Linked DNA regions of Ovis aries. The main gene of each other region encodes a partner of the protein of the gene in region 5 in a complex. Links are inferred from orthologs where the notes say so. Each region holds a gene or a part of one and is shown on either strand. Other genes may lie near its edges.

Region 1 (4,230 bases), on a different chromosome or scaffold from region 5:
TACAGAGGGCAGGTCTTCGCAAAACCAGGGGGAAAGTTCTGACAGCAGGGAGGAGGCCCTACTTGCCAGCGATGAGCGGGTTCCTCAGGACCACGATGACAGAGTCCCCGCGCAGGAACATCTTGGAGATGTAGCGGTCCTTGTTGACTGGCTTGGACTTCTTCTTGCCCTTGCCGCTCTTGGGGACCTCCGTCCACATTTCCTTCACATTCTCCAGCACCATGTTGCAGTGCCTGGTGGGGACGGGGAGGCAGCAGGACTGAGTGAGGGGTGTGTCCTGACCCTTCCTCTGGGCGGCACTGCCTCTGGGAAGGGGGAGAGCCAGGGCTCCGAGGCTCGGGCAAAGGACTTCACCTTCTGCGCCTCAGTTTCCTCGTCTCTAAAATGGAGACATTCATGGTGCCTGCCTCCTATGGCTGTTGTGAAAATTAAGTGAATCAACACACTATTTTTCTTATGGGCATGTGTGATGACAGTGTGGAATAGCTCGGTCAACAAACGTTTACAATGATTAGAGCAATGAAAAAAAAACCAGGTAAGAGCCCTGTCTTCATGGGCTCTGCAGGCTAGTGAAGGGAGAACACGAAGCAGGTAAACAAACACACCTGTAATATACTGTCAGGTGGTAGTAAGTGCTATGAAGAAAAACTAACGCAAGGTAAAGGGATGGGGGGCTTCCCAGGTGGCTCTAGCGGTAAAGAACTTGCCTGCTAATGCAGGAGACATAAGAGATGCAAATTCAATCCCTGGGTTGGGAGGATCCCCTGGAGGAGAGCATGGCAACCCATTCCAGTAGTCTTGTCTGGAGAATCCCATAGACAGAGAAGCCTGGTGGGCCACAGTCCATAGGGCTGCACAGATTCAGACACAACCAAAGTGACTTAGCCCTCATGCACACACACAAAGGAATAGGAGGATACAGGGAACTATGACTGAGTGAAAGAAAGAAAAGAAAAAAATTGGGAAAGCTCTGTATCTTGCTATATAGTAATCTACGGTGAGGAAAGCACTTCCCAAATGCTAACTAAAGGCTGCATGTGTTTACTGAGCATTTATCATGTGTTAGGTACTGAGCCAAGTGCTTTTCATACATAGTATTACTGAAGCCTCATTACTGTTCTGAGGGATATTATTATGACGCATATTTCACAGGTAAGGAAACTGAGGCCCGGACAGCATACCTCCCCAGACCCTGGTGCTCACCTGTCGAAGGCCTTCACGCGGCCCAGGAGCTTCTTGTTGTTACGGCAGTTGATGAGCACTTGAGTGTTGTTTTTGACTGACTGCGTGAGCACGGAGAGCGGCCCCGTGTTAAACTCCTCCTCCTCCCGCTTCTGCAGCTCCTCTGGGGTCATCTCACTCTTGGGCTTGTTGAGGAGACTCCTGAAAAGACAAGTATGGAACCCAGAGGTGAGCAGGCCCATAGCCTGGGTGCTCATGGCCTCTCCCTTGGTGTCTCCCCGACACATATCCCTCTCTTCGTACTCAGTCCTCTCTCTTGCTATCACCACTTGGATGCCTAATGGATATTTCCAATCCTCGCATGACCTAGACTGAACTCCAGACCCCCCATAACCCCAACTTAATACTATCCACAGCCTTCCTCATCTCTGTCAGTGGTGACTCCATCCCTCTGGTTCTTTGAGCAACTTGACTCTTTCTTCTCTCACATCCTACATTCAATCTGTCAGCAAATCCTGCCATCTGCCACTAAAACCTATCAGAATCTGAATTTCTTACCTTGGCTTAAACCTCCATCATCTTTCCTAGGTCTCCTTGCCTCCACCCACGCTCCCCAACAGTTCGCCCTCCACAGAGCAGTCTCAAGGGTGGTGTCAAGAATCATCTCACTCTTGAGTACCCTCTCAGTGTAAACAGTAAAGCCCAGCTTTTACCCTCACTCTGTTCCAGGCACAATGGCCTCTTCAGTGGTTCTTGAAGCTATCAGGCAAACCTTCTTGGGCCCCTCTATTCACTTTTCCCTCTGCCTAGGTACGTCCCCAGGTACCTTTGCAGTTTGCTTTCTCACTTTCTTCAGGTTTTTGCTCAAGTGTTGCCTCCTTCATGCGTTCTGTCTCTCACAAGAGACATTCCACGCTGTTTTACCCTGCTCTGTTATTTCTTTATTCAAAACCCTATTCCCTAACACATTCTAGAATTTACGGATTTATTACCAGCACGTTTCCTGCCTGCCTCTTCCCATCCCGTAAGATGTAGAAGAGGATTTTTTTTCCCTTGGGGAGAGTGGAGTAATTCAGTGATATAAGCTATGCGTCTAAAGCAGCCTAATACACAAACAACTCAATAAATAACTGTTGAGTGACTACATAAGTAAAATCATCCCCATAACTCGTTATCCATACCAATGGCGGATGTGATCGAAAAGCCAATTGTCTCCAGCTACGCCTCTTACCTTAAGACCGCTTTTCCTACAAGTCCGTACTCCTCATCTCCCAGGTTTTTAATTCGTAAAAACGCTTCCTCTTAAACTTCACTTCAATAAGATTGCTTATTTGGGAAAGCCCAGCCTGTTATCTGATAAAGCTGTCCCCGCTCCCGAAGTCAGGATCCTTCAAAGGCCCCACGTCCCCTCGCAACTCATCAGTAGAAAGATACGCCACTTTACCCCCAAATGTTTGCTTCCGCGCCCACTTCTGCCTACCCACTTCAACCGGTAAGTGGCCAAACTTACACCCTCAATCCCACTGCCGCCACCCAAACCCAGCCCGGCCTCACATGATGATGATGGTGACCGCGTTTTCAAGCCACTACCGTCTCCTCCGTGGTGTGCCTCCCGAACAGAGAGCCAGAGGCGGGACTTCCTCTTCCTACGGCCCACTTCCGCGCGCGCCTGCGCATACCCAACCAGCGAGTGGGGCGTGGCCCGTTGCTATAGCGATCTCCGCCCTCGGCGGAGGCTGCCGAGTAGAAGCCTTACTTAGTAAGTAGCTCCAGGCCACCATTCAAGACAGTGCTGGGCAGATATTCACGACCATGGAGAGGAAAAGAAGGCGGGACTGATTAAAACCATTTTGTTGCAGAACCGCATAGGTTGAAAGAGGGGAATACTAGCCATTTCCAAATGCCCGCCCGCTCTGCCTTTGGGGGCGCGGCCTTGGCGAAGCCAATCCCCTCCTCGCTTCAGGGATGGGCACCTCCCCTTTCCTTCGGAAACTGTTGATTTACGTGTATATTGGTTTTTCTGGACCGGGGAGAGGGTCCATCCGGGAGCGGCGTGGATTTGCGCCCAGTAAGGCTAGTGTTTTCGGTGATCAAACGCTTCTCATTGGCTTCCCCTCCTGCGCTGAGGCGGCGCCTACTTCTTACGCTCTCCCTTTTGGGTTGTGCAACCCGGGGGAACCAACCCCCAAAGCTCCCTGAAGACAAGGAGCCGCGTCCTCAGGCCGAAAGTCCCATTTGCTTTACTGCTCGTGGGGGGGGCGGATGGTGCAGCCGCTCTTGTTGTTCATTGGTCTGGCTTATTTCATGGGGCGGGACTTGGCTCGGCCTTAACTCTATCCGCCGTCTCCGACCGGTTTCAGGGCCAAGCTGCCATGCGTTCCGGGGGCCGCGGGCGGCCCCGACTCCCGGTCGGGGAACGCAGCCTTTTGGAGCGACCCTCACCGCCCAAGCGGCGCCTGATACCGCGGGCACAGCTGTTGCCCCAGCTGCTGCTGGCTCTGACAGTAGCCTTGGTGTTCTATACCATTTGGAGCAGCTGGCATAGCCAGACTGAAGAGCTGCCGCTGGGCCGGGAACTGCGGGTGAGGACGGGCGGGGACATGGGCACTGCGGAAGCCCTTACTCCTTGCCTCCCCTTCCCCACGGTCTCATGGGGAAGACCCTAGGTTGGGTTAACCTGGCTTTGTCTTTACCTTATGGCCCTAGCTGCAGGTGCCGCCGTCTCCGTTCTTAGAGCGCATACCCCTTTCCAATGCAATGAGGCTTCGGGCTTGTTTTGTAATAGCGGTTACCCCGTAAGAGAGTCTGGAGTAGTAAGACTTGGAGTTCTGGGTTCTAATCCTAAAGGCAGCTATTTGGAAGAGTCCCTTCCTCTCGCTGGGCCTTGATTTCCCTCATCAGGATTGCCGTGGGCTGCGCAGGATGGGTTTGGAGGGACTTCTAGAAACCTCTGATGCTGGAGGCTGCGGCTAGGAAGAGGAGGGCAGCCTCCAGGATATGGTTGGAATGAGGGTCGTTTTCATGCTCTGCTCTTCTCTTCCCTACCTG
Region 2 (4,128 bases), on a different chromosome or scaffold from region 5:
GGTGTTGGAGAAGACTGTTCAGAGTCCCTTGGACTGCAAGGAGATCAAAGCAGTCAGTCCTAAAGGAAATCAGTCCTGAATATTCATTTGAAGGACTGATGCTGAAGTTGAAGCTCCAATACTTTGCCCACCTGATGTGAAGAACTGACTCAATGGAAAAGACCCTGATGCTGGGAAAGACTGAAAGAGGGAGGAGAAGGGGATAACAGAGGATGAGATGGTTGGATGGCATCACCAACTCGATGGACATGAGTTTGAGCAAGTTCCCAGCGTTGGTGATAGACAGGGAAACCTGGCATGCTGCAATCCATGGGGTCGCAAAGAGTCGGACACGACTGAGTGACTGAATTGAACATAAGAAAACAACTTAAGTGTCCACTGATGGATGAGTATAAAGAAGACACACCAGAATACTACTCAGCCATAAAAAAGAAAGTAATATTGCCCTGTGCCACAACATGGATGGAGCTTTACGAGTATTATGCTAAATGAACTCAGTCTGACATAGAAAGATAAATACCACATGATTCCATTTACATGTGGACTCTGAAACAGAAACAAATAAAACCCAGACTTAGATACAGAAAATAGTCTGGTGGTTGCCAGAGGTGAGAAACAGTGAAAATGGGTGGGAGGTGAGGGGTAGAATAGGTGAAGGGAATCAAGAGGTACCAACATTCAGTTGCATAATAAGTAAGTCATGGGGATGAAAAGTACAGCATAGAGAATACAGTCGATAAAATAGCATTAACTTCGTATGCTGACAAGTGGTAACTAGACTTATTGTGGTGACCATTTTGTAATGTTTCAAATGTTAAATCATGTTGCACACATGAAGCTAATAATGTATATCACATATACCATACTTCAATAAAAAATAAAAATAGGGATAGTAATATCTTCATAGGTTCGCTGTAAGGACAAAATGAGTTATTATACACAGACTGCTCAGAACAGTACCTGATAGAGTAAATGCTCAAAATATGGTAGCTATAATTGTTGTAATTATTATTTTTATAAAAATTTTTGACAACAGGAAACTTGTAAGTTTATATGGTAAAACCACATTATGGTTGGGTCACGGTTCTAACCAGGTTTTCTTAATCTTTTCATTGGTAAGCTACTGAATTAAAAAAGAAGGTACATTGCTCCTCCTCTGGCTATGCATTCCATTTGGCCACAACTACTCTGTCATGTATCAGTGGCTCTTTTTCTTAATGCTTACAAGTAAGACAATACTGTGATAATGTTTCTTAAGATTAAAACATATGGGTTAATATAAAATGTAGATTAAATCATCATTATACATGGAAATTTCATCTTCAGTAGATCAGGAAATTTCTTCAAGGGGTACTTTCTAAGTTGATACTACCCTTTAAAGAGAGAAATTTTGTCCCATTTATTTGGAATATCTTTGAATCCTTTTAGTACAGATGACTAAACAAACATTCATTAAGCAAACTTACTACATCTGCTTTAAATTCTTTCCAGGCCAAAATTATTTTCTTTTTATTTTTAATTGAAGGATAACTGCCTTACAATATTGTGTTGGCTTACATTGTGTCTGCCATACGTCAACATGAATCAATCATAGATATACAGGTGTGCCCTCCCTCTTGAACCTCCCACCTTCCACCCCATCCCATCCCTCTAGGTTGTCACATAGCACTGCTCTGAGTTCTCCACGCCAAAATTCTTGCCAAGCTGTCTACGGTACAGAATTTTGAAGCTTCAATTCTTCAACTGGTTTTATGCTATAAAAAGTTCCAAACTGGTTTTGAAGGAAAACTTGGGCTATGCCTGATATTCTTTCTCAGTCCAATTCTGTTCAGAAGGACAATGTTTAACACAGTTTGCATACACTAATTTGCATGACTATTTCATGTATATTTCACTCAACTTAAGCTGTGATAATAGGTACAATGCTGGCTTTTCTTTCCACTCCCCAGTTTCGCTGACAAAGCCCAGGTCAAAAGATACTTTGTCCACGAAGACTTTCTCTACTTTCCCAGTTGCTAACTTCTCAGTAATACCATAGCAGATGCTCCTCTGTCCATTAGAACACCTCGCAAACATACTATTAGGTTTTTGTTTACCTGCCTGTCTCTAAAACTAAAACCATTAGCTCTTCCAGGGCAGCAACAGGTTTTATCCATCCATCTTCGTATTCTCCGCACCTGGTGCCTAGTAGGCATTCAGTCAATATAGAATTGTGGAAAAAATGGAGAAATCGCGATCTCCAAGTTTAGCAAAAGAATGTCAATTTTTAAAACATACCTGGCTTTTTACCTACGACCCTAGAAAACGCATGCAGAGTTAGGTTGAAGCAAAACAAGGAACAGTAGGGCCAGGAGGTTGGTTGATGGAGAAATCTCCACTTGAGGACTTTTTCAATTATGTGCTGAGAAGTGCCAGCATGTGGCTTTCAGTGCAATCCTGCTCAGAGACAGAGGTAAAGTTTTTGTAATCCCTTCCAACCCTACAACCCCAGAATTCCTTTATTCAATGAGATATCGCTTTGGGGAGCCCAGGTACCCTAGGTGAGACTCACCTTCCCGTTCGTGGGAGGCTCCTGGATATAAATGTTGCTCATTCCGGTCAGTGCTCAGAACTCCGCTCCTAAATGGGGATGAGAGCAAACCGCCGGTAACTAGAGCTGCCCACCTATCGGTACACGCTTCCTTAAATTGGCAAGTCGCGGAAAGCTCCAGCCTGTCAATATCCCGCAAGACAGTAGCACCACACCAAACACTAGCTCTTCCCAAGCCTAGGTCCTCACGGACGCCGCCATGTTGCTCCTGGACCCGAGCACCGCTAATCCTGAAAAGGGGGATTCCAATGGCGTCCAGGGAATTGAGAAGAGACTATTAAACTCCTATAGATGAATTTAACTTGTATTCCAATTTTTTAAACAACAGTTCGTAAGTTTTGGTGTTGTTTACTTCACTACACGCGTGTACAGGTCTCATTCACCTCCTCGAAGCTGGCAGTAATGGTTCGCGCCGTGTGTGGCGTACAATACGATTCCCCCGGAAACTGCATCAGCAGCCACTTGGTTCCGCAATCTCCAGGCGCTTTTAGGGCCTTCCCCTGCTGTCACCCGGGTGGCGCGGCGCGGGTGGGAGAAACACGGCCCCCTCGCTGGGTGTTGTCCTCGCGACCAGCGGGAAGCGAGAGAACCCTCCAAAGCCTAGGGGTTCTGCGACCCCTCTTACCAACGCCATGGCAATTCCAGGTAAAGACCAACCGCAGGGGTTTGGGCGAGGGAGGGAGTAGGTAGGGTAGGTTAGTGTGCGCTGGGTAAGGAGTACCGCCCAAGGGTGGAAGGTTAAAATGATCAGGTTCGTTTGGTTTACAAGAAAAATTTTACAGTCCAAAAATAAACTCTAAAGGAAAGAAAAGAAGAAAGAAACGATCTCCCCCGCAGCAGCCCAGCTCCCACTGCCAAAAACGGACTTACAGGGAAAGTGTATATAGGGCGGAGTGGGGGAGGGGTGTTTGAGACAGACTCCTGTCTGTAGGCCTAGGAGGCAGTTGGCCCAGAAAAACTAACCTCAACTTTAGTATGGTTTGAAAATAAAATTTGAGGTGGCAACACTTGGCGGACCCAAGTAGCCGAAGGCGTTGTTTGCACTGGAAGTGTCAGGGCTGAAATGAGCCTCTGCGGTTCCGCTTCTCTCTCTTCCTCTTACATGTAGTAGCTGTGTGGTCCTGAACCCTTCTTTTTGCCCTCCTGGGCCTGTTTCTGCAACTGTTAAAAAAAAAAAAAGATGTGTTGATTTATACCTGTGGTTCCTTCCAGTTCTCCTTGCAGGAGCTGTTTTGAGAAATATACACCACCACCACCCCTCCACCCACTCAAACTTGGAGATCTCCATGCAACTTGGAGATTCACGGTACTTAGAAAAGACGCTGAGAAGTGCAGTGGTTCAGAAGCCCTAACTTTGTTTTAACCTGCCCTCCCCAGTATTATTTGACCACGTTTGTTCTGTGGCAGCCTTTGCTGAACTGTGCTTTGCACATAGCTGTTATGCATGGGAAGGTTGTGCTGTTCTACCAAATGCAGTTTTGGGAGGATCACACAGGGCACTGTTGTCAGTTCAGTCGTGTTCGACTCTTTGTGACCCC
Region 3 (4,112 bases), on a different chromosome or scaffold from region 5:
CACCAAGAGCTTAGGTCTTAAACATGACAGTAGGGACTATAACAACAGTGGCAGGCAAGTAAGTCCTTGACAAATACCTGCCGAATGAGTTAACAAAAGTATTGATTTTATTATGGAAACTGTAGCCTCAGGAAACTTAGGATACAGTTTACACATGCTAGAAATAAAAATGGAAGAATTTCATAGACAGAAACCATGGGGCCTTAAAAAGTCTGGCTGCTGTAAATAGTCAAAAACTCCTTAATCTGAATTGAAATAACAGTTGCTAAATATCCCCTAGCTCTTTCTAAAACAGAGGCATAATAAGATGAAATTGGTATCAACTTCATTATCATCTCTAATCCAATCCAATATAATCTAATCCAATCAATCCAATCCAATCTAATCTTTCAAGAAACTGCTATAGCTCTCACCCCACATTTAAAAGCAAACAAACAAAAATAATAATCCATTCCTATTACCACATGAAAGAAAAACTACTGTCAACATAATGTTATGAGAGATGTCTAAGGTAGTATTGGTACCTCGGGTTGGCCGATCTCTGTTTTTTTCTCTTGCAGCAGCTCTCTCTCTCTCCTCCAACTCTCTCCTGAAGTCACGGTTTCGAACTTCTTCAGGGGCATCCTGAGTGGTCTGTCTAAAGTAGAAACAAGACAAGGCAAAGTTACTTCTAAAAAACACACGGCTGTAGTAATGGAAGACAATTCAAGAAACACAACTTCAGCCTGAGTCCTAAAGCAGAAAACTCCACTAGGGGATAAACAAAATCATCAGTCTAATCCAAAAGTTACTAAGAGGCATCCTGTGATGTCTAAAACCTCACACTAAATCAACATACTTTTAAGAACCTCAAACTAAATCAACAACCTTTAAGAACCTCAAACTAAATCAACATACTTTCCCATAGTAAGGCAGCAGGTTGATCAAAACGCTTATACTTTTTGTTAGTATGCTAACTCAGGGCTTGTTACAGCAACACTTTTAATCTCATACTGATTTGTATTGATAGTGCTTGCTCCTCCTGACAGAATGTATTATTAGTCATTGTTCAATCTACATATAGAAATTCCTGGTTAACTGGAATTTCTGCTTAAGGAATATCTGGTAGCACTTTAAAATCATGGAGCATAATTCTGGGTGTCTGAAACACTACTACATTCTACTCCTATGAAAACAGATAACTTGAGTGATAGTAACCCCAACATGCTACCTCATGACCACATCATTTAACAGACTTGGTCTTGCTTGTGAAACAAAAACTAAAAGGCTTCATTACCTATATTTTATCTTTGTATGAGAGGGTAGGTCTCTGCTTGAATACTGCTTTGAGAGTTGGCTCAAATCACCCTCACCTTTTCCTCTTCCACCTCTTGCAGGTTCAAAAGTTGGCCGAGCTGCTGTTGTCATCTTTTATGCTTTGAAGAAAAACACTGTCAAGTTATTTTCAATATGACAAACTCTCATTTTGAAAAGCATTAATCTATAGCCATCCTTGTGAAATAATTTCCCTAGCTCATTCCCTCAAACATCTGTGACCCCTGGCAAGCCACCAAGTTTAAGTTTCTGTCATCTGTGAAATGGGGATATTCCTCAAAAGGTTATTAAATCAGGAGACGTGACATATCAAAACCTTTATAAAATACAGTACAGCCATGTCTGAATTTAAAACATCTCCACTCAACCTCACGCCACCGGACTCCTTACTCCCATTTCATCTAAACCTCACACAGCAGAACAGGCTAACAACTACAAAAGCAAAGACATCTTAAAAAAAAAATCACTGACAAAGTTACTGAGTGTTCTAGTAAAAAAAGTGTGTTAAGCTTCAATGACAGTTACATAGGCAAATATCTCCAACAATCTTTTGTTGATCAAATTTCCTCCAGTAGCAGCCAACATAATATAAATTAGATCTTTTCCAAGTTACAATTTAAGAAATGCTGGAAACACAAGAGCCCACCCTCAAAGGACTGTAATAACCAAAAATTAGGGACCCGTTTGTGGTTACTGAAACATCCTCAAGCGTCAGAGAAGCAAGTGTCAGGGAAAAACTGGGGGAAATGATATACTTCTCTAGATTTTCCGGGGAAAAAAAAAGGGAGAGGGATGTATCCAGAGAGACAGAAACAGGGTTTCAGGTCTCTGGGGAGCATCGCCGCCTCCCCCCCAAAACAGTCATCCCTGGGGCGGGGAGTTCACCTCCGGGCTGTCGCAGGGAACTCGCTGACTCTTCACCCCTATCCCAGGGGGCGAGGGGCGGCCCTCTGCCGAGATGCCTTGGCGCTGCGCTCTCGGGAGCCGATCGGAGACCAGGGACACGCTCGCTAGGCGCGGAGCCCCACCACCAGTTCGCAGCTCCACCGCCTCCTCCGCATTTACGGGCTCTCTGACTCCGCCCCCAGCTTCCCCTTCCGGCCCCACCGACAGATGGCTCTCCGGTCTGCAGCTCCTGGGCCTCCGCGGCCTAAACCCGGTTAGCTGACTCCGCCCCCAGCTGCCCCTTCCGGCCCCGCCCACAGGCCGCTTTCCCCGTCAGGCCCCTGTGGGGACCGCTCAGTCAGCACTGGATTCTCTGCCTCCGCCCCCAACTACCCCTTTCCGGCCCCACCCACACTAGGCTTTCCTCGTCTGGCGCCTCCAGGGCCCGCACCGAGTTCTCTGCCTCCGCCGCCAACTGCCCCTTACGGTCCAACCCACAGTCTGCTTTCCTCTTGCCGCTCACTTTGGCCGAACTCCAACGCCGCTACCTCCGGAGATCATACAGACGCCATCTTGACTCTCCGCTCCCAGAAACCTCTGCACCCGCGGCCCAAAAAAAAAAAAAAAAAAAATCCCAAGACCCGGAAGCAAACCCCAAGCTCGTCAGGCGCCCGCGGAGGCAAGGACCAGTCAGCGGAGACCAAGGTGGAAGTCGAAGTGACGACGCACGGGGCGGGGCTTAAACGGCCCAGGGGGCGGGCATTTGAAATCAGTGCTTTAGAGTAGACCCTGAACGTTGTTGTGTAGCTTCGAGAGTCAATTAATGTGTGTTCCGTCTTTTCCTTTTCCGACCCCCTCCCAGATTCCTTCATTCCGGTACTGCGTAAACGAAGAGCCCCGAGTAGCCGACACCAAGTCCCCGGCTAGCGAGAGAGCATAGAAAAGGATTACACCAAACTGTTTAAATCCAACGGCTCCTGCTTCCTTACTCCTGAGCTAGACCCAACAAGCCTAGAGAGTTGGGCTACGGAAAGTAGTATTTGCATTTAATTGGATATGAAGAAAGAACAAATATGTACGGGGGCAACCACGATCTTTATAAAGGTACCATTCCTGCAAAAATATTAGTCTTCACAACGAAGGTTGTATTCGTAACGTTCGTTAAAATATTTACTTTTTATAAAAGCCTAAGTTCTAGTGGGAGGGGAGGTGTCACTGTCGAGATTCATTTATATACTAACAGACATTGAACGTTTAGAACGGTGGCCCAACTGCCAGGAGCCCTAGATGCAGTTACTATTGTAAGATGGCTACTCATGCGTTAGGGAAAGTTTTCATAAGGTAACGAACAGGAAAATTAAAAAATCACCAATCGTCCTAACTCCTTCCCCCACCAAAAGCCCTCTGGGAGCATGGATTTTGTTTGCCTTTCCAGTTCAACTTGGTATCTAATCACATAATCCTTGGCCACAGTAGATGCTCAGTAGATATTTGTTAAACAAATGAAAATTGAACTCCCCCCACCTTAGTTTCAAATGTAAAGAGCTCATAACATCGAACAGAAAAAAGCTTTCCCCACCAACGCCCCCAGAACTCCTTGAACGTTAAATGAAACAAAGCATAGAAAAAGTCCCTTCCCTCATAAAATTCAAATTGCTAATCTTGATTTTTCTTACCAAAGGTATTAATTACTCTCCTAATCTGCCACATCTCAGTAAAGGACACTACTACCATCAGGCTAGTTACTCAAACCAGAATCCCAGCGCTCCTCTTAAATCCCTTTCCCTTCACTTTTCTCATCTAGTTTACTTGCAAGTCTTCCCAATTCTACTTTCAGCATATACCCCAAATTTCATTCCACTGCCTTAGTCCAAGCCAGCATCATTTTCTACCTGGATTGTAATTGTCCCCTA
Region 4 (4,229 bases), on a different chromosome or scaffold from region 5:
TCAGGCTAGCTACCCTGAACGTAGCCAGAAATTATGACTACAAATTGACTCGAGAACCCCTTGATATCCAAAAGGAGGCCTAACCTAAAAGGCCAGCACGCACTACAGAAACACATGAAGCCTGGATACATAATCCTCATATACATCATCTCTCAGGTAAGAGGCATATCAACTATCCTGACTGATATGTTATTTCTTCAATTTCCTTCCCAATAGGATTTCTCACATGGTTTGTGGCTCACCCAAGTCTCCCTAGCTCCTACGAAAAGATTGCGTTTCCAACTCAAACTCTCTATGTATCAAAGCAGTCTCCTCTAGTCCAACTGTTCCCCATACCTTCTCTACATCCTTTCCCTACACTTAGTCACAAAAACCCCACTCTTTCTCCCTCACCTTCATTAAAGTCAAACTGCTGACTTTAACAGTCCCTTCATTACCTTACTGCCTAGTTTTTCTCATCCAGCCCCACATGACTCTGAAGAAACCCTCAAATGCTAGTTTTTTTCTGATTAGGTTTCTTGACTACACAGACTATTCCTTTCTCCTGCTCTATGTACTTTTTTTTTCCTCCAACTCCTCCTGTCCAAGATAGTTTCACAAAGGAAATGTGTGAGTGAAAAGGACCCCAGGAAAAGAACCCAAGGAACAAAGTTGAGATATTAGTGAAGGCAGAAGAAAAAAAACACAGAACTGGATAAAAAGAAAAGTTCCATTTAAAATACTCTGGAAGAAACATAAACACCTGGGAAAATGTACCAACCTCCCCCTTTACAGGTAGATGTTGAATGAAAAGAAGACAGCTCAACTCTAGAACAGTTTGGTACCCCTTCCCCCCCAACTCTAAGGCTGGGTCCCTACCCAATCCCAGTTGCAGACTCTAGAGATCTGAAAACAAAACAAAAAAATAACCATATTGGGGTAAAGGATGATGCTAAATCTAGGAAAGGCAAGTGGAACTGTGTGAAACGAAAAATTTCTTTATAGTACAAGAAATCTTCCAACCTTCACGTTTACTTTCTCAAAATTTCTCCTTGCTCTTAAGCTAGATTTTCTCTGGCTCTCTATACCCTACCTAGTTTCTGCTTCCCTAGCAGAAAGCTTCTGACCTGCAATTAATTTTTCAGTTTAACCATTCACCCACACTTCCATACCACCTCACACAATAATCCTCCCACTCCCTGGAAAAGGATAACCAGCAGCTGCTAAGCAAAGGGTATTCAATCACAACAAACTACTTTTAGAAAATGACCCAGCAAAGAAAACAAACAAAAAACAGAAATACCATGGCATCCAAGACAATGCTCACAAAGGACAGATAGACAGGAGGAGTGTATCGATAATACATATACACAAATCACCAAAACCCAAATGGAGACACTTAAACTAGGATCCACGGACTACGGGCATGCAAAAGTCACCAAAGCTAAAGGCAGATGAAAAGCAAGCTGCAAAAGAAGATAAAAAGCATTTTTCTGTTGGAGAATTATCACATGTTAAACAAGACAAAAGGAGTCTTAAAATTCAGTATTACGACAGTCAAGGAAAGAAACGCAGGAAAAAGGGAGCGGAGAGTGCAGGAAAATGAAACTAATACGTAAGCACATCAAGTTCAGCACTGGGGCACCACAGTAGCTGACGAGGGACTATGGAACCCAGAAAGCTGAAGTACTAGCTCAGTAAGAGAGTGCCTAGATTCAACACACTCAAAAGGAAACACAACACAACTTTAAAAATTTTTGACCCAAAAGATATCTTACATAAGCGTTTGCGTGAAAACCGAGGTCTGGAAGAGTTTTGAGTCAAATTATAATAAAACCCTGCGCTTTCTCCTCAAGAAAGGGCTGGCAGCCGCCTTCCCAGCTTCAACACAACTTTGGAGACCATGAAAAGGTGCAAGAAAAGAAAAGAGCACGTGGTCTGCCTTAACATACCTAGACTGAGTACTTAATTAAAAACAAAAAAAACGTTTTGAATGCTTCGCTTAATACTTCATGGCAGACAGTAACGAATCCAAACTGCCTAAATCGAGGAGATATCTAGTTCAAGACCTTTTTTGCACAGGCTGAGCCGCCAAGACCTATTTTCGGCCTTGAGGGATGGGGGAGGGGGCTGCGCGGCGCCCGGTAGTCTGGGAGGCTCAGGACCAGACCCCAAGCCCCGGGGAGGGACGGACAGGCCGGACGCCGGCGAGGCGCGGGGCAAAGGAGCCGACAGCCGGCCCCCGCCGCCGCAGCCCCCTCCCCGCAAACAAGATGTCGGCAAGGACAGCTGCAACAGGGCCTCGTCGCCGCACGCGTCTGGGAGACGAGAAGCCCGAGTCGCGCGCTACCCACTCCTCGCCGAGAACGCGCGCGAGCCCAAGTGCACTCGGCGGCGCGCGTCGTTGCCATGGGGGAGGGGGAATAAAAGCCCGCGCGCGACAGGAACCGCGGGAGAGGGGGAGGGGAGGCAGGCGAGCGGGGACGTCCGCGCGAGCTAGGGGCGGCGAGCGCGCGTGCGCGCGGCGGCCTGGGCCGTTCTCCGCGCGCTTTGGCCTGGCGCCGGGGCCGCCGCCCCTCCCCCACCCGGCTCGCTCGCTCCCTCACCCTCTCACCCGCCGCCGCCTCCACCCGCCGCCTCCGAGGGGGAGAGGTGCTGCCGCAGATCGAGCTCCTGAGTCCTTCGGGGCCTGGAGCAGCGGCCCTGCCTCGCCGGTCCGCCCGACTCAGCCGACACCGCCGCCTCCTCGCTTCCTCAGGGGCCGCAGCGGGCTCCGACTGCGCCACTCGCACCCCGCCTGGGCCGCGTTGCACGTCAGCACGACCAACTAAACGCGTCAGCACGCAACCGCGCGCGTCGCAAGGCCCGCCGGGAACCGTAGTACGCTCCGCGGCCTTGTGCGCAGGCGCCGAATCAGCACGGGATGTGTAGTTTCTTGAGTCCCGAAGGAGAGTCAACTCTGTTGTCGATGAACTACGATTCCCGTCAGGCAGTTGCGAGGAGGGTCTCGGGAGCGGCCCGGAGGAAGCAACGCATTCCAGGGGGTTTCCGACGGGGAGCAGGAGGACACAGGGCCTAGCGTCGCTAGCCCTCGATCGCTCCCGCCTTCGGCCCAGAGCATGCTGGGAGTTGTAGTTCTAGTGTGGCGTGGAACCCGGAGGTAGCTTCGCTCTCCCCCGCCCCCACGAGGCCGCCATTTTGTCTCCTCATGTTAGGAGGCAATGGGCCCGAGGCCAATAATACCGCTTCCTCCAAGTGACCGCACGCCTCCCGGGGTGAGCCCGGGGGCTGTGCTGCACCTATCATTCCGGACCCAGGAGTACCCGCCCCCCGGACCCTGGGCGGCGGACACCCGGGTTATCCCAGAGCCCAGCTACAGGCCCAGGGCCTGAGCCAAGAGCTGAGCCAGCAGACCGTGGTGTTCGCAGCTTCCATCCGCTGAACCGGGCTGGCTGCCCCTGAGGAATGATTTTTTTTTTTTTTTATGACTGCGAGTAAGGGGCCAGACAGAGGTGCAGTTTTCTCCTGCAGAACATGAAGCGTGTTACATACGTGGCAGGGTAAAAACATTACAACCCCCACCCCCACCCCGCCCCAAGCTTGTCAGCCCTGTGCAGAATGTCTTAAGTTAATGTTTTTAAGTCCGTTTTGCTTCAGCCTGAGGACCAGCTAGTCTCCCTCGGAGCAGAGTTGGGAGAAGCTGAGTTTTTGAGGCAGGCCAGTCGTCTGGGTTATCTCTGTTTGGGGTGGGGGTGGGGGCAGCTTATACCAGCAGCCACTTAATGAACTGTGGCCCCTTTGACTTTGTATCTGATGTTACTAGGTTTTCTTTGTAATCGTGGAAAGATAACTCACCTCATATGCTGGAGCGGGGCAACCTACTGCTTGGTGTAGGAGCTGTAGCTTTGGCTTAAAGGTGCCAGGGCTGATGTAATCTTACCTTCTTGAACTCCTGGCAAGTGCTTCCTGGAGTTGGATGCACCTTTGGAGTGATTTATGGCAAAGTGGAAAAGCCTGTCCTTTCTGGGCTTAAGCTGATATTTCTCAGGTGAGGGTGAAGGGTGATAGTTTCTTAAAACCCATTACCTTCAGTAAGACCCTTTCCTGTAACCAAATTCTCGATGATATTCTTCCCAAGAGATAGGAGGGTAGGAGGTGGGACACAATCAAAAAATGATATAATATCCTGAGGACCCAAGATAAACACTGATTAGAATTAAATGGGTTCAAGATGCAGACAAGTCAAATTT
Region 5 (3,175 bases):
TACACGATGTACCGAGACTACATCAAGAAAACCGCGCAGGATACCAGGGAGAAGTAGGAGTCCTACCGGCCCAGGGCGGTCGGACCTCGTCAATCCTGGGTGTGCACCTAATAAAGGAGTTCGAGGCAACTCACCAGTCTCTCCTTCACACAGTGGACAGCAGGGCGAGGGAAGGCTCTGGGGACCAGAGGACCTCCAGGGCAAGGAGAATCTTCGGGGGCAGAGGAGACCTCTGATCCCAGAGACCCAACCACTCCCCAGCCCTCTCAGGTGCCGCCCACAGGAGTGGGAGCAGGGGCAGTAAAGAGGCCTCAGTGCTCATGGGAACACTGAGTGGAGAGGCAAGCGCTCCTCTCTGGGGACCAGGCAGGAAGAAGGCTGCAGCTGGGAGCAGACAGGGAGGCCTCGTGGGAGATGACAGAGACCTAGGACCCAAGTGCCAGGACGAGCCTGAAGGGAAGAGGGTGGAGCAGTGGGGATGAAAGGAATGGACCAAGGCAGAGGTCAGAATGTTCTGTTCACTTATATAACATGTCTAAGGTCAAATTTCGACTAAGAAAAAAAAAAAAATTTCACGTAAATCCTGAAGACAGGGCCCCTTGGGCTTCAACACTTCCAGACGCTTCTCCTTCCTGGACCCTGAGCTCTTCTCTCTCCTCTGGGAATGGAGCCAGGCTGAGGCCATAGGAGGAACCAGGAGGCCCAATGCTCCTCCCTCTGTGCTGGAGGCTTGGGGGCTCCGGGCTTGTTGAGGATGGCCGCAGCAGCCCCAGACATGCTCTGACCACGTGGAGTCTGAGGCCCACCAGGGCCCAGCTTCAAGTCCAGGGTGTGGCCCAGCGCAGGGAGTGGGAGCTGCCATGAGGCCTGGTGCTCACATCGGGTAGTTGAGCACCACATCCTGCTTGGCGAGCTCCAGCAACATAGGATCATCGAAGAACTTGCTGATGCTCACGTCCTCGCTCAGGCCCTGCAGAGTGTGAGGGCAGATGCAAAAATGAGTCTTGCATGATTGCGCTGTACTTGAGTGAAGGGGCGGGGGGCATGTGCCGGCTGAGCTATTTCGGGAGTCCTGCGATTAGGGTATCGTAACAGAGCAGGAGAAGGCTCTCCCTTCCCAGGCATGTGGCCCCAGGCCTGGATGCCTGAAGCCTGGGAAGACCACGTCTCCCCACGCTGTGCAGTAAAATGCTCTTAGTCTTTGGGAGGAGGGTCCAAAGGCAAGAAACAAAGAGCGATCCAGCTCCTGACAAGACCACCTGGGAGTGGAGGGACAGCCGTGGGCCTGAGGACATGTACCTTCCTACGACGGGTTTTGATCATGAACTCTCGGGCCAGGTGGGGAGCTGGCTGTGGCTCCAAGGGGCGGATGACAATGCTCTTGTCCAGAGGGTCACCAGGTACAATCTGAAAGGCAAAGCGGTTTCAGAGCTGCTAGGCCGAGAAGCAAGATGCTTCTCTAGGATGCTGGCGATCCCCCTGGAGGTGGGCAGGTCAGAGGGGACGGCCTTGCAGAGGTGGGAGACCGCAGTGGCCAGCCTGCACCATCTTCTTACCTGCCAGTGGTGGAAGACAGACAAGGAGAAGGCCTGGCCCTGCGTGTGAGTTCGCAGATCAGTCTCAAAGCCAAAAGAGTCGATGGCTGGGATGAAAGCTTTGATGGTGTAGAGAGGAGAGCCTGGGATGGGTGCGTCCTGAGTCACGTGTCCCCTGAGACAGAAAAATAAAGGCTGAATTCCTACCCCTGCGGAGGCCAAAAGCAGAGAAGCAATGTACCCCCAACTGCTGACCAGCAGAGAAAAGAATAACCGCAAGTGCCCCACAGAGGGCGGAAACAGCTGGGGCTCTTCCCACTGCTCCCCATGGAAGTCAAAGGGGCAGCGACCTGTGGGCAAGAGTGGAAGATTGATAGGACAAGGCCCTGCAGACCCCCCCACCACTGACTGACATCCCCCAGGAGCTCTCTGAGGAGGGGTCCGAGGAGAAACCTCAAACTATGACATGTAGTGAGGCTGGGGATGCCTCATCCCTTTCCTGCTTCCTTCTGTAAACCTAGGCCTCAGGAGTGGAGGTTGTCGGGAGGCCAGCCCCTCTGAATTCCTTCTCACTGGAACTCAGGCTTGCCGCCCCCTTCCTCAGGTGCCTGGTGGCTTACCTGCGCCTGGCCAGGACCGTGTAGACAGCAGAGACACAATCTGCAGGGGCCTGGACCTCAACGAAGTAGTAGGGCTCCATCAGACGAGGGGTGGCCTGCAGCAGAGCGGGATGACAGGGCTCCTCAGCTTGGGCAGAGCTGGGGGACAGCAGTCTCGAGGGGCCCCGTCAGAATAGCCCCCCTCGCTCACCATGAGGAAGGCTGAGTAGACGACTCTCCGGGCTGTGGGGATGATCTGGCCCCCGCCCCGGTGCAGGGGCTCCTGGGCAACCACTGCATCTAGGATCTTAAACTTGACATTCCGAATCACTGAAAAGGAAAAGGGGGAGCGGCCTTGGGAGTGGGTCTGGTGCTAGTCAAGGGTGCAGGGATCGAGCAGCAAGGAGCCTCTTGCAGCACTGAAGCTGTCTTGTATCCACGAGGGATGTGGTACAGAATCAGCCTACAAGTGTGTATTCTAACAGCGTATATGGAGGTCAGAGGGTAGGCAGATGTTTGCAGTGTTGGTCTCAGGACACACTCAGACCACATAAAGTAGCTCGAGAAGTTTGTGTTTCTTTTCCAGATATTTGATTATTTTTGGATGTAGAGTAAATTTTAGGAATTGCACATTTGTCCCCACTGAATTCAGTCCTGCTCTATAAACCACTTCAGTCCCATCCTCCTGATGATATCCGTCCTCAAACACATTCCAGGAATGAAAGGCAAATGTCCACCTAGACATGACTTCTATTTCTAGGATGTACCAAGCCGTACCACCAGGACAGGGAAGGAGACGAGAGGAAGCTGGCTCAGAACACCGGACAGCCGTGTGGGCCCCAAGTTGTGTCTCCTGCCAGGTCCCAAAGATGAGCCCACCCGGACTATACACCCAGACGCAAGGACCCCAGAGGACAGGGCAGAGAAGGCAGAGGTGCTGGTCGACTTACACTCATCACAGAGAGGCCCTTCCCTGGTTCCCCACTGGAAACCTTGAACGATGCTGTCCTTCACTGAGCCGAGAAGAGCCTTGTCCACCTG
Region 6 (3,943 bases), on a different chromosome or scaffold from region 5:
CTCCTTCTGACAGACTTATTAATAGGGCACCAGGCTGCATGCAGCTGACGCTTGGCATGACTGTGGGAGAAGGTGGGGGAGGGGTCAGAAGTGTGGGGAGCTGTGTACCTTGCAGAGAAGAATTGGCTGGGCTGAGAATGAACAGATCTGAAATCCTGAAACAAGGAACCAGACTCAGGAGAAGCTGGGCTCCCAGCGCCGGCTGTAGTTTATTTGTGAAATGAATGGGGAACGAGGATGTCAGTCCAAGGGGAGATCAGGGGGTTCCTCCTCATCAGAGTCAAACTCAACATTTTCATCTTTTACCCATCGACCTCGTCCATCTGGGATCCATCCAGAGCTGGAAACACCAGAAAATAGAACTGGTCAGGAAAGGAAGTTTATTAAATTAAGAAAAGCATGTGTGCGAGTGCTCTGTCATGTCCAACTCTGTGACCCCATGGACTGTAGCCTGCCAGGCTCCTCTGTCCATGGGATTTCCCAGGCAAGAATACTGGAATGGGTTGCCATTTCCTTCTCCAGTTGGGAATCTTCCCAACTCGGGTCGAACCTGCCTCTTGTGCACTATAGGATTCTTTACTGCTGAGCCTCCTGGGAAGCCCCAATAGTTCTTTCTATCTAACTGTAGTTAATTTCCTGAACTATTTGAAAAAAAAGTTACATATGTAAGGAGTCTTTGTGCATGCATGCACGTGTGCTAAGTTGCTTCAAGAGGAACTGACTCTGTGACCCTATGGAATGTAGCCCGCCAGGATTCTCCAGGTAAGAATACTGGAGTGGGTTGCCATGCCCTCCTCCAGGGGATCTTCCTGATCCAGAAATCGAACCTGCATCTCCTGCATTGGCAGATGTCTTCTTTACCACTGTGCCACCTGGGAAGCCCCGGGGGATAAGTAAAAACACTTGAGAAGCTCTGAAACAAGGAGGGTCAGAGATAAAAGGGAAAAACTGAGGAAAAATTCTGCATACTCACCTTCGAAGGGTGAGGTAATGATCCAGGGCCCGTCTTCTTGTGGGGCTCATAGGTGCGGGGGATGAGACAGTGGCTGACTCCTTGGTCTGTGAGCCAGCCTCAGGCTCAGGTTCTCTACTGATCTTCCCACCTTGGGGTTCAGCCTCTGCGGGTGGCAAAGGGGGACGAGAGACAGAGGGACGAGGGGCTTCCGGTCTGGACAGAGAAGAATCGAAGTCTGTAAAAGCAGTAAAGGAAAGGGCCTAATCTCCTGTGACTCCCAACTCCTTATAGGAGTGCTTCCCAATTTTGTGTTCCTCAAGATATTAGTAAGTGTTCTGCATAAAAAGAATTCTGGAATCCAGTAAATTTAGGAAAGTCTAAATCTTTTAAGGTTTTTTTTTTATCTTATGATTTTGTAGAACCCTTAAAATACACTAATTTTTAATCAAATAGGATTACAAAGCACTTTTTTAGTTACAAAAATCTTTTTCCTGAAATACAAGTTAACACCCCCAGAACACTTAGTATGTCTCAGATTACAATTAGGAAAATAATCACTTTAGAGCTATCTATCTCTTGTCCCTCCCTACCTCTGGCTTTCCCATCCCACTAACCTGTACTTCCGGCGGCAGCAACTGTTATAGTGAGGAGCTCTGTGCAGAGCACTCTGAGTGATAAGTCGAGTCTGGGTTAAGAGAGGAGCCTGGCATGGAGACAGCAGAGTCAGAGCCTTCAGAGCCAGAAATAAGCCAAAGTCCTTTAGCCTAAGGTGTGCAGCACAGTCCTGCCTGGAACACAACTTCCCCTCTCTGATTACCTCTGCTGTGGTCTCTTCTCTCCTGAGTTCATTATGCTGTCTTGGATTCTGCTCTGTGCCCTTTCCTGCTGGCTTCTTGCCATAGAAAAGCTGCAGGCCTGAGGAGAAAGGGGAAGAGGATTAAAAGCAGAGCACCAAGGGTGGTCTGAAGAGATTTTAAGGGTTTACTCTATTGTCTGTCTTTTCCCAAACTTACTGGACAGATGTTTTTTGCCTGCACGGTGGGCAGTCAGCATGGCCAGAGTGTCCAGGACGGGTCGGTGGGGACAGATGGCACAAGCAAAGCTGGGGAGTAAGAAAGATAATTGGTCCCTGGGGAGTGGAGTCTTGGTCATAGGTCCCACCCCGTCCAAGCATTCATTTCCAAAGCCCAACTCCCAAGTCTCCCAGTCTCCATCACCCACATCCCTGTTACTCACTCCCAGCCAAAGAATCCTAGATACTCCCGCTCTCCTCCTTAATAACAAAAGTTCTTGAGTCTCTAACTTCAAAACCCTTAAACTTGATCCACTCCTCGCTCTCACCGTCCATCCCGTAGCATCAGCGCCTCATCCTCTGGGATGTAGCTGGCAAGCAGGTCCCCGACCCTTCGTTTCTGCAGGAGACAGGGGAAGAAGTCCGCACGGGATCAGCTGGATATGAGGGAAGGATAAAAGGGAAATGATAGAGACGAGGACTGAAAGGGAATAAAGACCATGGGAGAACACACATCTGCGGTGAAAAAGGGGTCACCACCACCTCTAGTCTTTTGGTTCCCTCCACTCCGCCCCCCAGTTGTTGCCACAGCAACAAAACAGCTCCTTTACAGCTTTCAGAGGGCAGGTGAAGCTGCTTCGGAAGCACTCCTCTCCGCATACTTTGAGCACATTGAGCTGACTCCAATCGTCTCCTTCCCTCTTGAAAGACATCAAGACTGTGAGCCCCAGAAATCAAAAACTCTATCCAGCCGCCTTCGCCACGCCTTTCAGGCCACCGTAGCAGGAGTGGGTCGTCTCCGTTCCTTCCGGTCTCTTTCCTGCTGGCCCCCTGACTTCCGGGGGTGTGCTTCCACGAATGCACTGCGCGATCCCGGAAGCCAGCTTCTAGCCGGCCGAGGGGGACTGTATTTCTTATGGTGCCCTGCGACCTCACCGGCGCGGGGCCTTTTGGGAAATGAAGTCTTTTTTCAAAGAGCTTGCCGCCGGGCTGGATCCAGGCCCTTTCGTCTTGGCAGATTCGAGGCGTTTGGAATGACAAGAACCTAGATGAGGAGCCCGAATTTGAGGGTGTGACTGATTTGGTTTGGAGAATACCTTTGAGGATCTCTGACGGAGAAAGAGTGCTACAGACTCTGGCTATTGTCACGCCCTTCGCCTGCAACCACAGCCCATATAGGGTGGGCCTGATCTGTTCCTGACCCTAGAGGGCTAACCCCGGGACCGGGCGGAGTCGGGGTATTGGGGAGCCTGGAGGTCGGGCTGCCAGACGTAGGGGCAAATTGAGCTGCGTGTTAAGGAGGCTGCTAGAGTTCAAAGGTCAGGGGTCAACGTAGCGAGTTGTTGTGGGGAGTCGAAAGTCGGAGGGGTGCTAAGGAAAGACTCAGGTAGGGACTGAATAGTCGGAGTACAGATTTGTGGGAAGGGGACTTGCAGGGAGGAGAAGCTACGGCTGACAAGTCGCGTATCGCCGGGGGAGGCGGGGAGACTTAAGAGAGAAGACTGAAAGAGAGGAATCCTCTAAGATACCCATTCTCGGACCGCGAGCCCGTCATTATCGGTCACTTGGCCGGGCCTCCCGGGGTTGTAACCTCAGTGTCCGCAGGGTGAGGAGATGGCTTCTCCCTCTAGACAGGCCCCCCTCGGGGGGTCAGGACTGCTTCAAGGGAGCCGGGCTCGTTCTTATGGAAGCCTGGTGCAGTCTGCCTGCTCCCCGGTGAGGGAAAGACGCCTGGAGCATCAGTTGGCGCCCGGAGACACCCTGGCTGGACTAGCACTCAAATACGGGGTGACGGTGAGTCTTCCAGGATTGGGACGTAGACACCCAATTAGAAGAGGTTTATTCCTCATGAGAATGTATGGCCCTCTAGGCAACTTCCCCTGAAATTTTCTTAATTGTGTTTATATTAACTAATTGTGATAAATTGACTGTGATAAAGGTTTGGTCACCTTTATCTTTTTGTTTCCTCATCTCAG
Region 7 (4,260 bases), on a different chromosome or scaffold from region 5:
TTAAACTTACTTCTGCCTCAGGATCTTTTGTTGTCCCCGACTGGAGGCCTCTTCCCCGAGATCTTTCTGTGTGTGGTTCCTTTCCAGTGCTTTCTCTCCAGAAAGTTGTTCCTGGAACACTCAAGCCCAAGCAGCACCCTACCTCTCTTTTGCATTTGATCAACACTACTTTTTTCCCTCAAAGAACTTATCACTATCTGAAATTACGTTTCTTATGTATTTGTTTAGTTTGTCTCCCCTGCTCTGCCACGAGAAAGGCTCTGTAGTGCAGGAACCTTACCAGTGTAACATGACACTGTTTCCCAGTCTCTAGTTCGTTTAATGAATGAATGATTGAACGAATGCTTCCAACAACCCTGCAGGGTACAGGTTATTGAAGAAAGTAGTTTTGATAATGGTCTTGGACATTAAGACCAGTTGCAGTCGCGGCAATTCAAAGAAACCCAGGCTGATATTCTTGCCAGACAGAAGCACACTATTAACAATCTGCAAATCTCCTTAGTTTCCAGCTTACTCATTTACTCAGGAAATACTGCGTCAGGTACCGTCCCAGGCACTTAGGAAACAGTACTGAACAAAATAAAAAATGAAGCTTGTGTTCTAGTGGGAAGGACAGAAAAGAGGGAGGGTGAGCAGAAACAAGTAAAACATATAGACGGTGGCATGTGTTATGGAGAAAAACAGAGCAGCAATGTAGATGAGCACAAGGTATGGCAATTTAAAATGGGCTGGTCAGGAAAGTGGAAAAGTGTTATCTGAGCAGAGATTGGGAAGAGCTGAGTGTATAAACCATGTGGACACTTGGAAGAAGAGTATTTCAGTAGAGAGCACAGCAAATGCAAAGACTTTGTAGCAGGAGCGTGGAAGCCACTGTGACTGGAGAAAGGTGAGCAATGGAAAATTGGTAGATCAGAGAGATCAAGTGAAAGAGGGCAAAAGATTGCCAAGATTTCAGTTTTACTCTGACTGACGTGAAAAACCATGGCAAGTTTTCAGCGGGGGGTAATATGATCTTATGTTTAGAAGGATTCCTCTGGCTACTGGTTTGGGAATAGACTGAGCATCCATAAACAGAAACAGGAATTCCAGTAGGATCCTACAGCCATAGTGCCAGATGAGACAAGTGAAGTGAAAGTGAAATCGCAAAAAAAAAAAGGAAAAGTGAAGTCACTCAGTCGTGTCCGACTCTGCGACCCCCTGGACTATAGCCTACCAGGCTTCTCTGTCCATGGGATTCTCCAGGCAAGAATACTGGAGTGGGTTACCATTTCCTTCTCTAGGGGATCTTCCCGACCCAGGGATCAAACCCAAGTCTCCCACATGGCAGGCAGATGCTTTAACCTCTGAGCCAACAGGGAAGCCCTAATGGCTTAAACCAGGAGCTAGTGATGGAAGTGGTAGAAAGTGTTAGTCACTCACTCAGTCATGTCCAACTCTTTGTGACCCCCATCAACTGTAGCCCGCCAGGCTCCACTGTCCATGAGATTTCCCAGGCAAGAAAAAAGGAGTGGGTTGCCATTTCCTTCTCGAGGGTATCTTCCCAACCCAGGGACTGAACCTGGGTCTCCCCCATTGCAGACAGACTCTTTACTGTCTGAGCCACCAAAGAAGCTGGAAGGTGGAAGAAGCGGTAGTGAGTCTGGATATAGTTTGAGGGTGGTGTCAACATTTGCTAACCAGCTGGTTGAGGAGTTGTGGGGGGCGGGAAGACATATATTTTGTCAGCTGAGCCTAACAGGATAGAAGCAGAGGTGTGATCACTACCTCAGTTTTACAGGAAATGTAGTTAAGAGCATGGATTCTGAGTTTAAAAGCTGTTCCTGGTGGTTTAGTCACTAAGTCATGTCTGACTCTTGCGACCTCACTGACTATAGCCTACCAGCCTCCTCTGTCCATGGGTTTCTCCAGGCAAGAATACTGGAGTGGGTTGCCATTTCCTTCTCCACGGATCTTCTGACCCAGGAATCAAACCCAGGTCTCCTGCATTGCAGGGAGACTCTTTACCAGCTGAGCTATGAGGGAAGTCCTATCACTTACTATATAACTTTGTTTTCCCGTCTACAAATTAGGATAATAATATTTCCTAACTCTTGGGAAGTTACCGAGATTAATGCAGTTTTCATTTACACAGCACAAGGGCTCAACGGATGGTAACTATTCTTTGGTTATTACTAATACCAGTGCAGAGAAACAACGGGAAAAGCAAGTTTCCCAAGTCCCCAAAACGAGCCAGCGGCATTCATTTCCCCCCTTCCCTCATTCATTCATTCATTCATCCATCCAATCTTCCAAGTTTTCTGAAATTTATCGTTTATTCTATACTGGATCCCTGGAACATTTAAGAAGTCAAAACCCTGGTCTCGGTTTTTAGCTCAAGATCCTCAATTCTTAATTCTAACACCTCCTCACAGGGCGGTCAAGACGCTGAAAACGCGCGTCAAATGGAGAAACGCAGGGAGAATCGCCGGGTGTACGCCGCTTTTACCGTGTTTTTCTGCTTTAACTCCTAGGAGAGAGAGTCCCGCTCCGGCCGGGAGTGTGGGTTAAGGGCCGCGCAGGATCACCAGGTGCTGAGGAGAGAGGAAGATGAGCTGAGGGCCGAAGGCCGCCTGCTCCTTATACTCACCGCTTGCAGCAAAGCTCCCGGCGCCGCCTGCTGCTGCCCGGCTCCAGGGCCCGACCCTGCCGCTCCCAACAGTAATTCATGTCGCTGCCGCTTCACTGGGACCAGTGGCAACTCTGGGCCCTTACGCTTCTGCTGTTCTATCATGGCGGCAGCCGCTATCCTCAGGCCGCCACTGACCGCGCCGACCCCCTCAGGTACCTCACGATTGGCTCGGACTTAGTCTTTCCCGTAGAACTTCCGGCCGATAGAACCCAATCGACTTCCAATATACCTCTCAGCACCGCCCCCTGAGAACTTTCCTGTTATTGGCCAGTTCTTTCTGACATCACTAGAGTACGAATTCAGGATTGGTGGATAGAGCTGGAGTCCCGCCTAGGCGCGCTGTGTCTTGTGGGTGGAAGCTCACTGACTGGGTTTTGGTGTTTCGCGCAATGCTGCGAGGGAAAGACCAGAAGCAGACAACAAGTAAGTGTAAGGAAGGTCGAGGGGCGGGTGGCTGTGGGATCTGGAGTGGTCTGAGGCTGGCTCTTCTCAGATGCAGGTTTGATTGCAAGGGGCAAAGGGGGCCCCGAGTTCCTAGCTCTGGTGTGTAGTAGCCTGGGTTCCAAGCCTAAGAAACGCGGGTTCGATCCCTGGGTGGGGAAGATCCTCTGGGGAAGTGCATGGCAACCCACTCCAGTGTTTTTGCCTGGAGAATCCCACGGACAGAGGAGTCTGGCTGGCTACAGTCCATGGCGTCGCAGAGTCGGACACGACTGAAGCGACTTAGCACCTAGCCTGGGTTCCCTTTCTAGCCTGGAGCAGAGTTTTGGGAGCCTCTGCTCAGCCTGGGGCCCTCGATGGCTGACTTCTTCAACAGTGTTTTCCGTGCAGAGCCCTAGCCCAGGCGATCCCAGGGAGAAAAGGCCCATCTCCTAGCCTCCATCAGGGTCCTCTCTGACTGAAGAGGCGGACTTGTCACTGCCATGATTCCGCAGCCTTTACTAGCGCCTCCTCAGAAAGATAGAGATGAAGGTAATGTCCGACTCTTGGCCTCCGGAGTACAGTTTTGTTGAGAAATTCGAACTCAGACCTGTGAACTAGGCCTTCTTCTCAGTCGTCCAACTAATATTTATAATACAGAGCACTGGGCAGACATTGTGAACCAAACATGGTCCCTGACTTCAGAGCTTTAAGTCTGGGGTTGGGGGGAAATAGATGCTCACCAGATCTCACTAGGAAATGGGAAGTATGGAAGTGTGTGCTACCTAGGAGAGGTACCTGGTGTTAATGAGTGCCTGAATAAACAGGACGGCTTCTGTAAGGAAAATATGCCTGAACTGATAGCCTCAGGGAAGAATTATAATTAGTTGGGTGAAGCAAGGAAGGCAGAATGTTCCATCTAGAACAGCATGTGCAGAAGTCCTGTGGCAAATGCGAGGAAAATGAGTAAAAGGCACAAAGAGGCCATTGTGGCCAGGACAGAAAATGAAGGGGAGTGTGGTACAAGATGAAGCTGGAGGCGGGTAGAGGCCAGACTTTGTAGCTTTTACTTTAAGATTAATGGGCAATCACAGGGTTCTGTGTGTGTGTGTGTGTGTGTGTGTGTGTGTGTGTGTGTGTGTGTGTGTGTGTGTGTGTGTGTGTGTGTGTGT

The links.
Region 1: EFTUD2 (region 5) and SNRPD2 share a complex: the UniProt entries of both Homo sapiens proteins name them as parts of the minor spliceosome. The link is inferred for Ovis aries from reciprocal best matches to the Homo sapiens genes EFTUD2 and SNRPD2.
Region 2: EFTUD2 (region 5) and CWC27 share a complex: the UniProt entries of both Homo sapiens proteins name them as parts of the minor spliceosome. The link is inferred for Ovis aries from reciprocal best matches to the Homo sapiens genes EFTUD2 and CWC27.
Region 3: EFTUD2 (region 5) and CWC15 share a complex: the UniProt entries of both Homo sapiens proteins name them as parts of the minor spliceosome. The link is inferred for Ovis aries from reciprocal best matches to the Homo sapiens genes EFTUD2 and CWC15.
Region 4: EFTUD2 (region 5) and SRRM2 share a complex: the UniProt entries of both Homo sapiens proteins name them as parts of the minor spliceosome. The link is inferred for Ovis aries from reciprocal best matches to the Homo sapiens genes EFTUD2 and SRRM2.
Region 6: EFTUD2 (region 5) and SCNM1 share a complex: the UniProt entries of both Homo sapiens proteins name them as parts of the minor spliceosome. The link is inferred for Ovis aries from reciprocal best matches to the Homo sapiens genes EFTUD2 and SCNM1.
Region 7: EFTUD2 (region 5) and SNRNP40 share a complex: the UniProt entries of both Homo sapiens proteins name them as parts of the minor spliceosome. The link is inferred for Ovis aries from reciprocal best matches to the Homo sapiens genes EFTUD2 and SNRNP40.

What each region holds. Positions count from the first base shown.
Region 1 is NC_056067.1:53,040,971-53,045,200, forward strand, and holds the start of SNRPD2 (small nuclear ribonucleoprotein Sm D2), read right to left. Parts: upstream 2,801-4,230; 5' UTR 2,739-2,800; coding exon 2,737-2,738; intron 1,384-2,736; coding exon 1,204-1,383; intron 234-1,203; coding exon 59-233; 3' UTR 1-58. Other genes in the region: QPCTL (glutaminyl-peptide cyclotransferase-like protein), read left to right, coding at 3,555-3,764. UniProt on the Homo sapiens protein: Plays a role in pre-mRNA splicing as a core component of the spliceosomal U1, U2, U4 and U5 small nuclear ribonucleoproteins (snRNPs), the building blocks of the spliceosome.
Region 2 is NC_056069.1:14,832,922-14,837,049, forward strand, and holds the start of CWC27 (spliceosome-associated protein CWC27 homolog), read right to left. Parts: upstream 2,801-4,128; 5' UTR 2,594-2,800; coding exon 2,552-2,593; intron 1-2,551. Other genes in the region: protein SREK1IP1, read left to right, coding at 3,223-3,235. UniProt on the Homo sapiens protein: As part of the spliceosome, plays a role in pre-mRNA splicing. Probable inactive PPIase with no peptidyl-prolyl cis-trans isomerase activity. As a component of the minor spliceosome, involved in the splicing of U12-type introns in pre-mRNAs.
Region 3 is NC_056068.1:15,092,414-15,096,525, reverse strand, and holds the start of CWC15 (spliceosome-associated protein CWC15 homolog), read right to left. Parts: upstream 2,801-4,112; 5' UTR 2,651-2,800; exon of another isoform or gene 2,200-2,650; intron 1,431-2,199; 5' UTR 1,408-1,430; coding exon 1,277-1,407; intron 638-1,276; coding exon 525-637; intron 1-524. UniProt on the Homo sapiens protein: Involved in pre-mRNA splicing as component of the spliceosome. Component of the PRP19-CDC5L complex that forms an integral part of the spliceosome and is required for activating pre-mRNA splicing.
Region 4 is NC_056077.1:2,806,516-2,810,744, forward strand, and holds the start of SRRM2 (serine/arginine repetitive matrix protein 2), read right to left. Parts: upstream 2,801-4,229; 5' UTR 2,594-2,800; exon of another isoform or gene 2,586-2,593; intron 2,239-2,585; exon of another isoform or gene 1,758-2,238; intron 1-1,757. UniProt on the Homo sapiens protein: Required for pre-mRNA splicing as component of the spliceosome. As a component of the minor spliceosome, involved in the splicing of U12-type introns in pre-mRNAs.
Region 5 is NC_056064.1:44,303,292-44,306,466, forward strand, and holds the end of EFTUD2 (116 kDa U5 small nuclear ribonucleoprotein component), read right to left. Parts: intron 3,173-3,175; coding exon 3,085-3,172; intron 2,465-3,084; coding exon 2,346-2,464; intron 2,251-2,345; coding exon 2,156-2,250; intron 1,711-2,155; coding exon 1,557-1,710; intron 1,408-1,556; coding exon 1,195-1,407; 3' UTR 971-1,194; coding exon of another isoform or gene 875-970; 3' UTR 501-874; downstream 1-500. Other genes in the region: HIGD1B (HIG1 domain family member 1B), read left to right, coding at 1-57. UniProt on the Homo sapiens protein: Required for pre-mRNA splicing as component of the spliceosome, including pre-catalytic, catalytic and post-catalytic spliceosomal complexes. Component of the U5 snRNP and the U4/U6-U5 tri-snRNP complex, a building block of the spliceosome.
Region 6 is NC_056054.1:101,063,967-101,067,909, reverse strand, and holds SCNM1 (sodium channel modifier 1), read right to left. Parts: upstream 2,801-3,943; 5' UTR 2,681-2,800; coding exon 2,579-2,680; intron 2,405-2,578; exon of another isoform or gene 2,368-2,404; coding exon 2,297-2,367; intron 2,058-2,296; coding exon 1,969-2,057; intron 1,871-1,968; coding exon 1,773-1,870; intron 1,659-1,772; coding exon 1,570-1,658; intron 1,169-1,569; coding exon 974-1,168; intron 341-973; coding exon 241-340; 3' UTR 186-240; downstream 1-185. Other genes in the region: LYSMD1 (lysM and putative peptidoglycan-binding domain-containing protein 1), read left to right, coding at 3,582-3,761. UniProt on the Homo sapiens protein: As a component of the minor spliceosome, involved in the splicing of U12-type introns in pre-mRNAs. Plays a role in the regulation of primary cilia length and Hedgehog signaling.
Region 7 is NC_056055.1:236,093,947-236,098,206, reverse strand, and holds the start of SNRNP40 (U5 small nuclear ribonucleoprotein 40 kDa protein), read right to left. Parts: upstream 2,801-4,260; 5' UTR 2,771-2,800; coding exon 2,627-2,770; intron 1-2,626. UniProt on the Homo sapiens protein: Required for pre-mRNA splicing as component of the activated spliceosome. Component of the U5 small nuclear ribonucleoprotein (snRNP) complex and the U4/U6-U5 tri-snRNP complex, building blocks of the spliceosome.